Drosophila melanogaster: one gene and its partners. The protein of the gene in region 1 purifies or fractionates together with the protein of each later gene. This does not show direct contact. Each region holds a gene or a part of one and is shown in the gene's direction. Other genes may lie near its edges.

Region 1 (5,371 bases):
TCATCAATCCCAAATTAGCAGTTTAAATTTGTGTAACTTACAAGCACCGAATCCGTCTGGTTAAATCGGCGCTCTAGGCGTGTTCCACTGGGCAGCTTGAATACAACTGCAATGGCGCCGACAGCATCCGCTGCCGGCTCGGATGGCACCAATGTGGCCAGCTCGATCTTTTGCCGGGCAATCTCCTCCTTGCGAAGCTCGACATCGCGTCGAGCTTGTTCCACAGCCTCCTCCGCCTGCCGGACGGCATCCCGCTCCCTTTGCCGCTGACGCTCCTTCTCCTCGTCCGCAAGCAAACTCTGCTCGTATGCCTCGTCCTGCTGTCTTCTTAAAGTCTGTGTAAAATTCCGCTCTAAGCGATCTGCACGCGCTTGACTCAGCCACACCTCGTTGGCGTTCGTCACCGACTGGAGGCGACGGAGCAGCTCTTCGGGCGTGCAATCCCCCTCGAAACGTCCGACGATCATCATGCGATTTGCTCGAAGGCTGATCATCACCATCGTTGGGTAGCTGCGCACCGTTATCGACTGCATCACCCGGTAGCCCTCCGGCGTGGCTACGTCGCATCCCCATAACAGGGTGTGTGTGTTAATGTAGTCAATGACCGATCTCGCCGACAGTGTGTTGCGGCAGAAGGATTCCACATCTGGGTTCTTGGCGGGATCCTTGTGCAGGTAAACGATTAGAAAACGCAGCTCCTGCTTAGCATCGTTAAGGGCCTGGGCATATGTGCCCTGATAGAAGACCGGGTGCTCGGGATACCTTTCGTAGTATTCCCTAATAAACTTCATCACATCCCCCAGTGGATCTGTCACCAAGCGGGCTTCGTTTCCTCCGCCCAGGTTCACAAACGCACTGACGATGCTCGTCAGCGTGGAGTAGAAGTACTGAAACACGAAGTTAATCACATATCCAATGATGCCGGTGAAGCTGCGGGGAACGGGGCCACTGGGCACCCGGCTAACCGTCCTTCCGCCAGGCATGTTGGCGGAAAACACCTGCTGCAGGAAGCGATCGTTAAGGACAGCGGGCGCTCGGACATCTGTAGAGGCGGCGAACATGGTCGGACGCCCCTCGCGGATATTTAGCTGCTCCTGGAAGGCCACCTGCATATGTAGATATGAAAAAGGGTAAATAAGCTGGTATTTAGTATAGCAGGGCGCCCAACGCAAAATTGTAAAAAACAAATTTAAAAAGAATTTAGAATAAAATGATTACTATCTTTAGTCGTCAGATAATATATATGTACAAAACTTGTTGGTAGTAGTATTCTTGCAGCCACCACTGTATGCAAGACTGCAAGACTACGTGACCCTGTTATTTTGACATTCACTGTGTGGGCATATAAACATATGCATACCTCGAGATCCCATTGGTGTCTGATTAGGACGTCGCGGCAGACGTTCATATCCTCGATGCCGGTGAGATCCTGGAACTGGAGGACCTTCTCCGTCTGTTCGTTGGTCAGTCCATCAGCTTCCATCTTTCCTGCAGTTGAAGGCCTCCGTTCCCAGTTGTTATCGTTGTTGTTTGCTTTTACGCAGTGCGTGCGTGTGTGTGCTTGTGTGGGTGCCAATGGCCCGTGACTGTCTCCCTGGTGTTGTTTTTGTTGTAAGCTGGCCTTTGTCCAGTGGCTCAGCCGCTGCGGCGGGGGACGGGGGATGAGTAGCGTGGTCACTAAATGCTTCTACTGGTCGCCAGGAGTCATTTCAACGCACGCCAAATTGCCGCACTACAACGTCTTTAACATTTCTCGGCAATTTATTTCTTTTTCGCAGGTGATTGCTTGCTCTTCTTCTTGCCTTTCTGCCAATGATCCGATGAATTTGGTTGTGAATGACTAGTGTGACCGCGCAGGCCGACGCGTTCTCACTGCGAAATCCAGCGGCAAACAAACAATTTGTGTTCGCTTTTTAAAAAATTATTTTTATTATTTATTTGATCTCTATGCCTGGCGTGGTAAAACACAGAAAAAGATTAAAAGCAATATTGATATATAATTCAAAGGTGTTAGATAAGGACAATGTGTAGTGGAATCAGCATATTTGTCTAACATCACTTGGAAAATCGACGGACGAGCTTTGGAATTTTCAGGTAATAAAGCAGCGGGCACATTCTTAAATCAGTCCGAACAAAAGCACTCAAATTTGAATTGTGTAAATATCTGAAGAAATAAATCAAAATGCATGTTATTTCCACGTCTAAAAAAACCGTGCTCTCCGACTTCGCGGATCTGGAGACAAAGTCTGAGTATGTGCACCAGAACGCAGAGCCCACGGACTTTCAGTTCAACGGCCAACGCCGGGTCTTCGTGGAGGTGGATAAAATGGCGGGCTTGGCCGTGATGCGAATAAAGGAGAAGGATGGCAAGAGTAAGAGAGAGGTGCGGATCCCCAAATCCCACGTATGTAATTAACTTCCCATTTCACAGCGCCCGAGATTCAACGAGTCCGTAAGCTCACCATCGACAATGCCTTCTGTGTGGCGTGCGCCAAGCAATCCCTGGAAGAGATCGCTGTGGGTCAGAGCGGTTGTGTTAAGCTATACAACTTTCGGACGGCACAGCTCATCCATCGTTTTCCGGCGGACCCGCAAAGGAGTACTGTCCTCTACATGGACTACAACAACACGGACGAGTATATAGCCGCCGTGCGCGATGGCGGGGACATCAGTATCTTGGGTACCAAGACCAAACAGAAGACCAACACCTTCACCATAGATGGCGAGTAAGTTAAAGGCTTGCTTGTTAAAGGATTGCATTGATCTTTCGCTATCCTGTTAATATCAGCTCTACTCTTGTGCGCTTTCATCCGAGCAAACGCTTTCATCTGTCGATCGCTTCCTATAAAGGAGCCGTGACTGTCTATGATGTGCAGGGAATGCGAAAGATTTTTCATGCCAGCGAAGCCCACAGTGCTCCCTGCCGGGACATCAGTATGTGCACATCCCAACCGGCACTGCTGGTCAGCGTGGGCTACGATTGCAAGATAAATATCTTCGACATTCGACGAAATCGTGCTCAGGCCTCTACGGATCGCTTGACCTACTCGCATCCACTATCGACGGTGGCGCTGAGTGAATGTGGCACTTATCTTTGTGCTGGAAACCTTAAGGGCGAATTAATAGCCTATGATATGAGGAGTACAAAGGCTCCGTTGGCCGTGAGGAGTGTACATGATGCGGCTGTAACACGTGTAGCCTTTGTGCCCGTGCCAAGTGGGGATAACCAGCAGAACGGTAGCCTCAACAGCTCCGAAAATGCAACTGGTTTGGCGACCGAAGCTCCTCGTGTAGAGCGTGCGCCCAGCGATGAGTTGCGTAAATCGATTGCCGCTAATTTGTTGAGCACCCAAAACCAGCTGACCAGTCTTGGTTACGGGGTGTCAACACCTACCATAGTTCGCCGGGATTCCTTTTGCGAGTTCCTGGATGCCCAAGGTCCAAGAGCTGTGGATCGCATGTCGACCCGCTTGGGCGCCTCTTACAGAGATAGTTTTGACTGGGAGACGCTCAACCGAAAACCGCAACCTTATGAAACTGCCAATCGTCAAAGTCTTTGTCCTCCAGTGGCGTCTGGCCCAAGCTCGGTGGATAACTCCGTCAACAGCTCCACCACGGAGTCACTGCAACGCAAGTTACTGTAGAGATTATTATTTTTTAGTTATAATAAGCTTATTACTTGCAGAGACCTTAAGCGGCCCACTGAAGGATCGGAGCAACATTTCCGGAGACGGAAAGCTGATGAAGATTGCCGAGACGGACGAGCTCTGCGAGGAGCAGTCTGCCAACATTTCCGTGGCCAGCAGCACAGGAGGCGGCAGCGACAAAGAGAATCCCCCGCCGGTTGACGCAGAAATGAAACGCCGTCTGCGCTTGCTTTCGGCCAGTCGAAACAGTACCCCGCACCATGCTAACATCACACCACAATCCTCAAATCCTCTCTTGAAGCCTCAGCAGTTGCTGGCCAAATCGTCAAGCGGACTTTCCGCCCAAATGGATGCAGATTGGCGCAAGGAATTCAGCGAGCTAAGAGATTTTGTAGACCAGCGCTGCGAGAAGGTGGAGCGCGAATTGGAGTACGTTACCTTCTCTAATCAGCGGCTATTGGCTAATAAGATGACCAACTACATGGACCAGCAGGTGGAAAACACAAGGGAGATCCGGGACGCCCTGGCTTTACTACTTCAAGGAGATAGCTTCATGCGCGAGTTCTCGCGCCTACAAAATGAAAACGAAATGTTAAAGGCCAAATTGAAGTTTTACCAGGAGCAGGAGCAAACTGAATCATGCGGAGAGTAAAACGAGGGGGAGACATGTTAATAATTAATTGAAACATTGTTATTATTGTATTTAATTTATTGTTATTATCAACTATTAGTAACATTTTTCAAAATAGGTTTTGGCGTCTCATGAGTTTTATGTAAATTTTAATTCGTTAATCGATCCATTTAGATATTTTACAAATGTTTTAGAATATTTACCTCGGTCTATAAAATGTTTTTGAATTCGTTATTAATATAGTGCTGCCAAAAGTGTAATGCGATAAGAAAGCTTCTTAAAATGTATTTTTTAAAACCCTTTTCACTTTCTGTACTCTAGCTTTAAGTGATCATTTTTCGGATTCGTCATGGGCATGTCCACCGATATGGTCCTGTTGAAGTTCTCGTAGTCGACAATGTAGCGCTCGTTTTGGGCGTCGTAATGGATGATATTGACGAACCGCTGGCCCCAGAAAATCTCCCTTGGCAGATAGGACGTCTTGGCCTCCGTCATCTGCGCTGTGGCAGGCGAAGTGCCCACAATGGACACATACAACTCAAATTGGGCAGCATTGAAGAGTTTCGCTGTGGTGAACTGAGACAACGGGCTGGTCTCATCGATGACATGGCACACCACATCGGGCCAGAGAATAATCTGCTCCCCATTCCCCTCCAGCTTCAGTTCCACGTGACTTTTTATAGTCTCACCCTCGCGCGTGCTGTCAGAGAAATAGATAAGATGGGGGTTCGTATTAATTGCTTGTTTTATCCAGCAGCAAGTACTATCTGAATGGAAGGTCAGTTCATTTATGACTTTCCTTATGACTGGGTCAATATTTCAGGAGTCAAGTGTGATTAAATTGTTTCTATAGCATTTATAAATATTGAAAAAAAAACGTTGAAGATCAAGACAAAATAGGAAAATATACCCAAATTAACCGCGGATTCTTAAGTTCTATGATTTTCCCTAAAATGCGACTGTGACTCACCGTTTGTCCACGATGATGTAGACTCGTATCTTGGACTCGATGGACTGCTGCTCGCGGGGATCACAGACGCGGAAGAGCAAACAAAGCCTGCCGTCGCGATAACAGATCTACGTGAGATAATCG
Region 2 (4,192 bases), on another chromosome or scaffold:
GTGTACTTCTCGATCAGCTTCTCCACATCGGGTTTCTCCAGGACACTGTATACGGTCTTATTGTCCACACGCTGCAGCGTGGCCATCTCGACCTTCTCCGGGGTCAGCTTGGTGGTGTCCAGGGTCATGCTCAGTACCTTGATGGCCAAATCCTTGGCGTCCGCCAGCGTCAGCTTCACGTTCTCCTTATCGGCCAGCTCCTGCTTCAGCATGGAGATCGCGGCACCGAAGTTGTTGCCAATACAGGTGGCCTTCCATCCGCCGTAGTTGCCGCTGGGATCCGACTGGTACAGTTGGTAGCCGTACTTGTTGTCCCATCCCATGTAGAGCAGCGAGACGCCGAAGGGACGCTTTCCGCCGTACTGAGTGTACGCCTGTTTGATGTCGCAGAGGTGCGACACCAGCTGCTCGCAGGGAATCACCTCGCCGTAGCTGAACTGGTAACGCTGGGCAATCAGACGCAGTTCTGAGGTCAGCACATTGGCATCGGAGGTGATGCCAGCCACCGAGCAGACCATGTTGCTGAGGGAAAACAAAGAGGCTTGGATAGAGATAGATTCGTAGAGAATGTAGTGGGTAATTAAGATCATGGCCAGTTAAATATATGGCCTGTGACCCTTGAATTCATCGTAGGATATACTACTGAAATTTCAACTCACTCGTTCAGGCGATAGATCTTCTCCGAAGGAATGGCGCTGTCCAGCAATTTGTTTGTGCTGCGGCACTCGGCTGCCAACAGGATGCCGTCCTCGGCGAGGATTCCGAGGCAGGTTCCGGCGTGCGAGATGGCCTCCATGGCGTACTCCACCTGGTACAAACGGCCCTCCGGCGAGAAGATCGTGGTGCGGGAATCATAGCGGCGAGCCTGGGAAAATACACGCAAGTCAATTACTACCACGATTGCTAGCCTTCAATGGTCATCGGCCCAATGGTGGCTCTCAGACCAATACCGGTCTTCTGGGCGCGGTACTTACCATTGCTAAGGAATATACCAATTTACAAGTTTATTTTGCAAAACGAACAGAATTTACTTGTCATTCAGTGTAGGGTTGCCAGACTGCCACACGAAGTGCGTCCAAAGCGGTACCAGGGCTGCAAACTAGATGGCGTTAGGGTGTTTCTATTTACCAGGGGTGGTGTGCACGTTTATCCACATATCGATATAAGGTATTAAAATCATTTTAACAAAGATCAATTTATAAGCCCTTTAAGATTGAGGTGTACTAAAACATAATATTTACTTGAATTAAACTTAAGAACTTGTGTCAAATTTAGAAAAATTGTATCCTTACTTCATAGCAAAAATTTAAAATAATTCATATATAAAATATATATATATAATAAACAGAAATTTATTATATATATATATATATATATATATATATTATATATATTATATATATATATATATATATATATATATATTATATATATTATATATATATATATTTAACAGAAATAGATAAGAGTAAATATTTCATGAAATCGTTGATAGGAAATCAGGAATTTCTACGATTTTTATTAAGCTTAATTATTAAGCACTATTTCCTGTTAATTTTCAAAAGGTACCATCTCTAGTAACGTCTCTGAAACCTTTCGATATAACCGATAAGTAATCAGCTTGTGTTGTCATTTTTTTAAAAGATGGGCGATCTGCTGAGCGTATGTGTGATGATTTAATTAATGATCAGCTTATAATCGCCATGATTGCAGAACTCGGAATTCTTCAAGAAGCTGGGAGTGGACAGCTCGAACCAGTGGATTCTGTACGATGAGCAGATGGAGATGTTCTTCAAGTTCCTGTCCGGGAACATCACGGATGCAAATATCCTCACAGAGCGACAGGTTCTGGAGCGGGAGGAGATGCAGCGGCGGGGCGAGTGGCTAAGTGCTTCGGATCGCGAGCTCAAGCTCCTGCAAATCGAGGCCGAAAGTCCGGGGCTTCTCAACTACAAGCAGCAGGATGTCGACGCCTTGACCATGAGCATTGAGGCGATCGAAGATGCCTCAAGGGATTATGCTACGCTTCTGGAAGATATGATGTAAGGGAAAAACTGTAACCTTCCTCATATATGTTCGATCGATGGTCAATCCACTTTTGCAGGACCACAAAGCACTCGATAACTAAGCACCTAGGCGAGGTGGAGTGCGTCACCGCCGAGTTGCAACTGAGGGAGAAGGATCTGATAGCCGAGTGCCAGTCCAAAGCCAAGCAACTGGAGGAACTGCAGCAGGAGAACTGCCGGCTAAGCGCCGAAGCCAAAAAGGCATTCACCGCCCCACAGTTGCCGCCTCTATTCATGCATCAACTGCCATTGGAGCAGTATTTCCACAAATGCGATTCATTTATGCAATACTTTACTCTGTATGTGAAGGAGAATTTTAAGATCCAGGACTATGATGAGTTCCAGAGCGCGGAGGAAGATCTTGGGCGCGAAAAGGCCAAGCTGGAGGACTTGGAACGTGGGTAAGCACAAAGGTTCTGTGCTAAAAACAATGCACATTAATTGATATGACCGTTTTTACAGCATCCAGTTTTATGCACTATCCTACATAAGAACAAAGGCCAAGGTGAAGGCCACGCAGTGTCTTATTGACCAGTTGGATCTTGGCAAGATTCACTGCCTCAGTTTAACGGACATGGCGCGTGAAATGCACGATCTGCAGCTGCTCAACGACTATCAACTGAGCAATACACACGATACGCTTTTAAACGATCTAACCATTCACATTCAGCAGCACACCCAGCGACGTATTGAGCTGGTTCTCTACGAGAACACTAAACTGAAGTTGGAAAGAGCTGTTCGACGTCATGAAAGCGACAAGAAGCTCACTAAAATCATCTCAGATGCTCTGTCCAATGCGGAATTGCTGTGGATTGCGATCCAACTGGACTGCGACAAGAAGCGCAACTGCCTGGACACTTCGGAGGAGTTGCGCGACCAAGCGCAGGCCACTTGGCAAAGAATCCAGACCATGCGCTCCATTAACGCCAGTTATCAGGGCATTTGTGCCCAGTTTGTGCAGGAGATTGCCAATTTGTTGTCAGCCCACTTGGGACAGAACATAAAGGCAACTGAGGCCAAGGCTTGTCTCTTCGAATACGAAAAGTTCGGTCGCCTGCTGTCTTACTCCTTTCAGAGCATGCTGAACCGAAAGTCGTGTGCTGCTGTTCAGGATCAACTGGCAGAACTGTAAGTTGCAATACTTAACTTTGATACAGATCGTTTAAGCTATTAATATTTTTTTTTAGCAAGCGCTTGGAGCAGACTTTGCGGCCGTTTGTCTATGATTCCCCATTGGAGCAGCCCATGTTTGAGAACGTTCGCTACTTGAGCGCCATATACAATGTCACCCAGCAGCAAACTCGCCTGGATGAGTCAGGGCGTTCCTTGCGAAAAGATTTCCTGGAAAATGTCGTGGGGCGCATTGTAAGTATACTAATTAACTATAAAATCATGGAATATAACATTTTAATGTTGTTTATCCTTTTAGGAGCGGGATAAACTGTATCGCTATAGCGTAGTCCTGTGGATTTGGTTTCTCACTGAGCCGCAGCGCATGATGCATGCAATTGATGAGGTCAAAAAGGCAGCCGCTGCAGTAATTCGTCCAGGTGGTGGTCTGCACCGCAAGTGAACTTAGTTGATTTAGAATCTGGTCAGTAAATAAATGTTAAATTATTCAAAAATAAACATTACGGCGTTGCTAGTCTAATAATAAGTCAATACACTAAATTTAGGGATGCTGTATAATGTGTGTATGTAAAGATTCTTAGGCAGCAACATGATTTACTTTTGCTTACGACTTTGGTAATTGTTTTCCCCCCTTTGAAATGCCTTTTCCCTGGGCTATCAGATTTGGGTTCACTAAACACCGGGCGTATTAAGGCAGCATCGTCTTAAAGCAGTCTACACGAGTGCCACCAAAGAGACGCATTAATTGCTGGCGGCACGCGACGGCGTTTCCAAGCGATTACCATTCAGATTTGGCCAAGGAGCAACAAGTGAGGCCATAAAACCTTGTTCGCCTAACCTAGAGATTCACTTTCCGTGCAGACGAAGTCATTTGCCCGCCGATTTGCAGGACTCTCATTGGCTGCCGGCATTCGGGCTGCAGGACGAGTTTTGCCGAGCAGAGGTCCTTGCGGATATAAAAGGACCAACAGTTGTGGCCACTGGTTCACTCGATT
Region 3 (4,837 bases), on another chromosome or scaffold:
AATATATTTTAGAACCTATTGCCCCATGGCTTTCCTCTGATTGCCCAGGAACGCGACCGAAAGAAACAATAACCATCAACTGATATCAAACGCACATTACGATATATATGTACAAACTCAAACTGAAGGGTAAGAAAGCACACTTCGTTTGCCTTTGGAAGCAGAGAAGGAGGATATACGTGCCGAGTGGGGAGATACGGGGAAATAATTTTAGAGTGTAATTTGGGATAGATTGCTTATGTGACTAGAAGTCGTGGCTGCCACACTTGTGTTGTCGGTTGGGAAATTGGTTATTGCTTAGAAAATTTGGTTAGTTACCGGCCGCTTCAATGGCCGGCATTTGTTAATGGTAAATCGGTAACCGATCGCAGTTTGTTAGCTGATACCCATATGGAGTTACTCATGCCGCAGCTTACCTCATCGAAGAACACTTGGGTTTTGCGCAAAATATGCTTCAGCTCGGTCAGCTCCAGAAAGTTGCGCTTCAGGGCCTCGGCGTTCTGATTCACCTCCCTCAGCTCGTTCTCCAGCTTCTCAAAGGTGGCCTGAGCAGCAGACAAGAAAGCCATATAAGTTCAACAGTGTTTAGCAGAAAACAGGGAGTATGGCGGCGTATACCTCCAGGTCGATCATCTCGCGGGGCTGCGGGGCCTCGGGACTCTCCCCGGTGTCCAACATGGGGATGCCGTCCTTCTTGATCTCCTTCTCCAGGTAACGCAGCTTGCGCTCCATCTCATCGCAGCGGCGCACCTCGTTGACGAACTTCCTCTGGAAAGCGTTGACATCGGGATTGAGCTGCGGATTTCAAAAGATTGGTTTGTTATTGGGGGATCTCAAAGATACTTCATTTGTGCGATCAAGATATAGCACTTATGCCACTATATTTTTCAATTTTATTTAAATGAGGTAACACACGTAGTTATACTATACACTTAGTAGCTGGTGTCACCAGCTTTGCATTTACTTTGCATTCGCGTTAAAGGGGACGTTTCATGGAATACCGAATTCGCTAATGAGGTAAGGGGTATGATTGTGGTTTATGGTTAGTCAGTGCGGCTGCCTCGACCGCAGCTTTATGTAACCCATCCTACTCACATCTCGGAACTGGACCAATCCCAGTTCTCCCAACTCGGAGACGCAGGCGTAGGCCGCCTCGCTCTGCAGGAACAGCTGGCACAGCGCCATTTCCTCGCTGCGGAATAGGGAACCCATTGTGGCAGCCGGATTCCCGATATCTGCGAATGGAGAACAGACACTAAATCAGAATGCATATGTACATATATAGTACACAATGGGCCCATTCAATTGCATGATTCATGGCCAAACTGGGTTTCTTCCTAAGTTTTGCGGCCGTGTCGCATACATATTTTCATGCTGATTTGGTTATCGTTTCGGTGGGCGGACGTTCGCTTGTCCCCCAGATTATTTGTCTGTAATCTATACTATATATGCGCCGAGATTCGATTTCTATACCCCATGCGTATATTGATTTTTCTCCGCCGCGGACAAAAAGAAAGTGCTACGTTGGACCCGGATGCCAAGGTTTTCGGCTCGTTGGGGGTCAGCCAGTGACTGGGCTCGAGCTTTATCCGAAAACTATTTAGTTTGTCAGGGGGTCACTTCGAAATGAACGTCGATTAGTTAATTACCAAGTGCTTAAAAATTAAATATAAATTCGTCCACAAACTCCAGCAACCGACAAATTTCCGAACTATGAATCTAGTGTGACCGTGGCAGGTCATTGGATTTATACCAATCGAGTAACTAGGGAAATAAATTTGTACTTAAAAACAAATATCTGGGAAATATTATAAAAAACATTTAAAAAACACAAATGCTATTCGCAGTTACTATTCCTAGGGAAAATAAATAGATTTATCCCTTTTATATAACATTTTTCGTCAATATAAACAGGCAGTGGGAACGTCTTCATTCAGTTGAATTCAACCACTTGGTAACACTGGGCAGCAACAAAAACAAAGAACTTCAAACTAAACCGCCATATTTTACTTAATTTCTGTGCTAAAATATGGATCGGACCATAATTGCACCGTGGAAGGCCGAAGAGAAGGAGCAGAGCGAGAAGCTCCACAGGAAGCTGCAGGGACTGGCCCTGGTGCACCCCCTGCCGGACGAGCTGCGTAAGCTGATTGCCTGGGACATGTTCCTCAAGCCCAACCAGGTGGCCTTCGTGCATGTGATGCACTACCTCTTCCGTCTGCTGGATCCCGCGGAGTTCAAACGCCGCTTCTTCTGGCCCATCACCGACAAGAAGTCGGAGGCGAACTTTCGCTCCAGCACGGTGGAGTATCTGAAGCATCTGAACGAGAAGCACCAGCTGCATTGGGCCAACATCAAGTCGTATCTGGTGGTGATGCCCGGAGGCATGAGGTTCATCAACTTCCTGCTCGAGTTCGTGGGCTTCGTGATCCAGGAGCTCATCAAGCAGCGCGAGAAGTCACTTGGCTTAGAGGCGGGAACACCAAACGTGAGCGCCAAGGTCATGGCCCGCCAAAATGCCGTGATGAAGGAGTACGCTTCTTCGTATGTGGTCAATCTGGAGGAGAATACGGCCCTGTTGCGGGACAAGACCCAGAAGATCAGACGCCTGATGGCCGATCTGTCTGCAGACATGGGAGTGCCCGAGGAGCAACTGGCGGACGATGGCTTTCTGGATGAGTTCGAGGCCACCGCTGCACTCGGCGTGGAGCGGGTCATTACCCAACCCACCGAAAGGAAATTCGACCTGGAGGCATCTCTGTGCGGTCTCAAGGAGGCCATCGATCTTTTCCAGGTGAAGCAAGCCGAGAACAACCAGAGCAAGGAGGCGGTGGAGAAGGCACTTCGGGGCATGCGAGTGCTGTTCGACTGTGATGCAGTCACAGAAGGAGGTGAGACATCTTTGGTTGCATCCTTGCAGGTCTTTAAATTTAAATGGTTTTTCAATTCCTTCGCAGATTTCTACGATCCTTTGGGCGCATCAAAAATGGATGCGCTCTTAAACGGCTTTAATCGGATCAGCGGCACAATTGCCGAGCAACTGGATGCTAATGACCACTACAACGAATCGAATGCGTTTGTCACCACCGATTTGCAGGCTCTTCGAGTGGAACTTTCACAGTCCGAAGTCCAATTGAACAATTTACTCAAGAAACTAAACGAACCGTCCAAAAAGGACAAGGGAAGTGCCAATGCAAGTGGCTCCGCCAGGGTACAGACGCTTCAGCCGGCCACGCCTCGCTTCGAATCGGTTATCAGCTCCAAATTTGTTTCCACGCCTCCCATCAGAATCGACATGGGCGGCGGTGGCGGTCGCAATGCCCCAGTGCGTCTTGCACTGCAAGATGACTTCAATGGCAAACAGTTTGATGCCTTAAGCAACAGCTTACTCGGTAAGGAGTGAACTAAACCGTTCGCTTAGTGACCCTCATCCTTATGAGTTTTCCTTTTCAGCACCTGCGCCGCCTCGATCAGCACGCAAGCTGAAAGCCCTTGATCAATCGACCGGCATTGACCTTAATGGCACTTTAAACCGATCCAAGATCAACGATCCCATGCAAATGCTGCGCACCATTCACAAAAACACCTCCAAGGTCAAGGCAGCTCCGCAGGCGAATCTCTCCTCCCTGGGCAGCAAGTGGAAGCAAATGCAAGCGTCATTCGGTTTCGATGAGGCGCCGGTGCCAGGAGCAGCAGTGATCTCACCTCAGACCTCACCAACGGATCCCAGCGATCCCTTTACACCCTTGAGTGGTAGCGAGTGCACCCGAATTGAGCGCATTCCGCGCACTTCGGAAAACAACACTTCACTGATCGCCAAGAGCGCTGCGGTTATAAAGGTCCTGGAGGTATCACGGAATGTGCTTAATCTTAGCACCTCGCCATCTGGACGCCTAGATGCACTGGTTCCACATACCGAGAGCCACCAGCAAGATGTCGCGCCACGTCTTCAGCTCAACGACAGAACAATCAATGTAAGTGGGATCAACAATAATACGTGCCTACGAAATATACGAATCTCAAGTTCCTTTTTTTTACAGGACTCACTGCAGCTTGATCCCGATTTCAACATTGAAAACGATAAGAATGCATTCAATGTCTCGCATAAATTCGATTTTGATCAGATTGGTGGTGAGGATGACCTGCAGAACATCAGCGATAGCGTGCTCAAGGATATTATCTTTTAGTCCACGGGAATCGCGAATGGCCAATATTGTTTAGGTAATAGATTTTGTATTCTTTTTCTAATTGGTTATGAGGTTTTTAAACGAAATATACTTTTTACTTTAGTTTTTAATATTACCCATATGAAATTAAAACTAAAATCTTTCAGCTTGAAAGCAATTTTCTTCTTTTAAATACATCTATAAGTATACCAGGCTTTTCGAAATTCGAGTTTCAGGACTTAAGATTATTATTGAAATAAACAACCTTTGAGGCAGTATTAAGGTTTATTATATATATACTTTTAAAAGTCATATCTTATAGCTATTGTTCTTCATTGCGGCTTCAGCGATCTGTTACATCCTTGCAAAATCAGACTTTCTGAAATGAGTGGGTTGAGCGTTCTAGATGAATGAACGGCAAAAGTATGAAACAAATTGTATAAAAATAAAAAAAAATGAGTGAATATAATGATGGAGAAATAAAATAAGAACAAAACTGAAAAGTGTGTCTTCAATGAATTCATTTTTATTAAATTCGAAAATTATAATAATTATCGTTAACTTAAACTTCATGAATGTGAGATATGTACTTTTGTGTCTCTGTATACATGTTATTGTATGGTATTACTTTTGGTCTTTATGGTCCGCGCCTATCACATGTCTAGCCGCAC

Evidence for each region.
Region 2: the proteins of Grip71 (region 1) and dgt3 purify together in Drosophila melanogaster (affinity purification with western blotting, with the first as the bait; one study listed by BioGRID). This does not show direct contact.
Region 3: the proteins of Grip71 (region 1) and dgt6 purify together in Drosophila melanogaster (affinity purification with western blotting, with the first as the bait; 2 studies listed by BioGRID). This does not show direct contact.

Annotation. Positions count from the first base shown.
Region 1 is NT_033779.5:18,706,756-18,712,126, forward strand, and holds Grip71 (Grip71), read left to right. Parts: upstream 1-2,090; 5' UTR 2,091-2,182; coding exon 2,183-2,372; intron 2,373-2,431; coding exon 2,432-2,726; intron 2,727-2,788; coding exon 2,789-3,630; intron 3,631-3,685; coding exon 3,686-4,299; 3' UTR 4,300-4,542; downstream 4,543-5,371. Other genes in the region: Faf2 (Fas-associated factor 2), read right to left, coding at 42-1,106, 1,361-1,483; Irk3 (inwardly rectifying potassium channel 3), read right to left, coding at 4,582-4,978, 5,249-5,355.
Region 2 is NT_033778.4:20,991,776-20,995,967, reverse strand, and holds dgt3 (dim gamma-tubulin 3), read left to right. Parts: upstream 1-1,586; 5' UTR 1,587-1,644; coding exon 1,645-1,662; intron 1,663-1,713; coding exon 1,714-2,042; intron 2,043-2,104; coding exon 2,105-2,467; intron 2,468-2,528; coding exon 2,529-3,194; intron 3,195-3,253; coding exon 3,254-3,431; intron 3,432-3,495; coding exon 3,496-3,639; 3' UTR 3,640-3,692; downstream 3,693-4,192. Other genes in the region: Prosalpha3 (proteasome alpha3 subunit), read right to left, coding at 1-522, 660-865, 975-977. UniProt on the Drosophila melanogaster protein: As part of the augmin complex, plays a role in centrosome-independent generation of spindle microtubules. The complex is required for mitotic spindle assembly through its involvement in localizing gamma-tubulin to spindle microtubules.
Region 3 is NT_033777.3:29,128,084-29,132,920, reverse strand, and holds dgt6 (dim gamma-tubulin 6), read left to right. Parts: upstream 1-1,948; 5' UTR 1,949-2,029; coding exon 2,030-2,891; intron 2,892-2,957; coding exon 2,958-3,392; intron 3,393-3,453; coding exon 3,454-3,974; intron 3,975-4,040; coding exon 4,041-4,187; 3' UTR 4,188-4,337; downstream 4,338-4,837. Other genes in the region: Vha100-1 (vacuolar H[+] ATPase 100kD subunit 1), read right to left, coding at 417-545, 619-795, 1,096-1,212.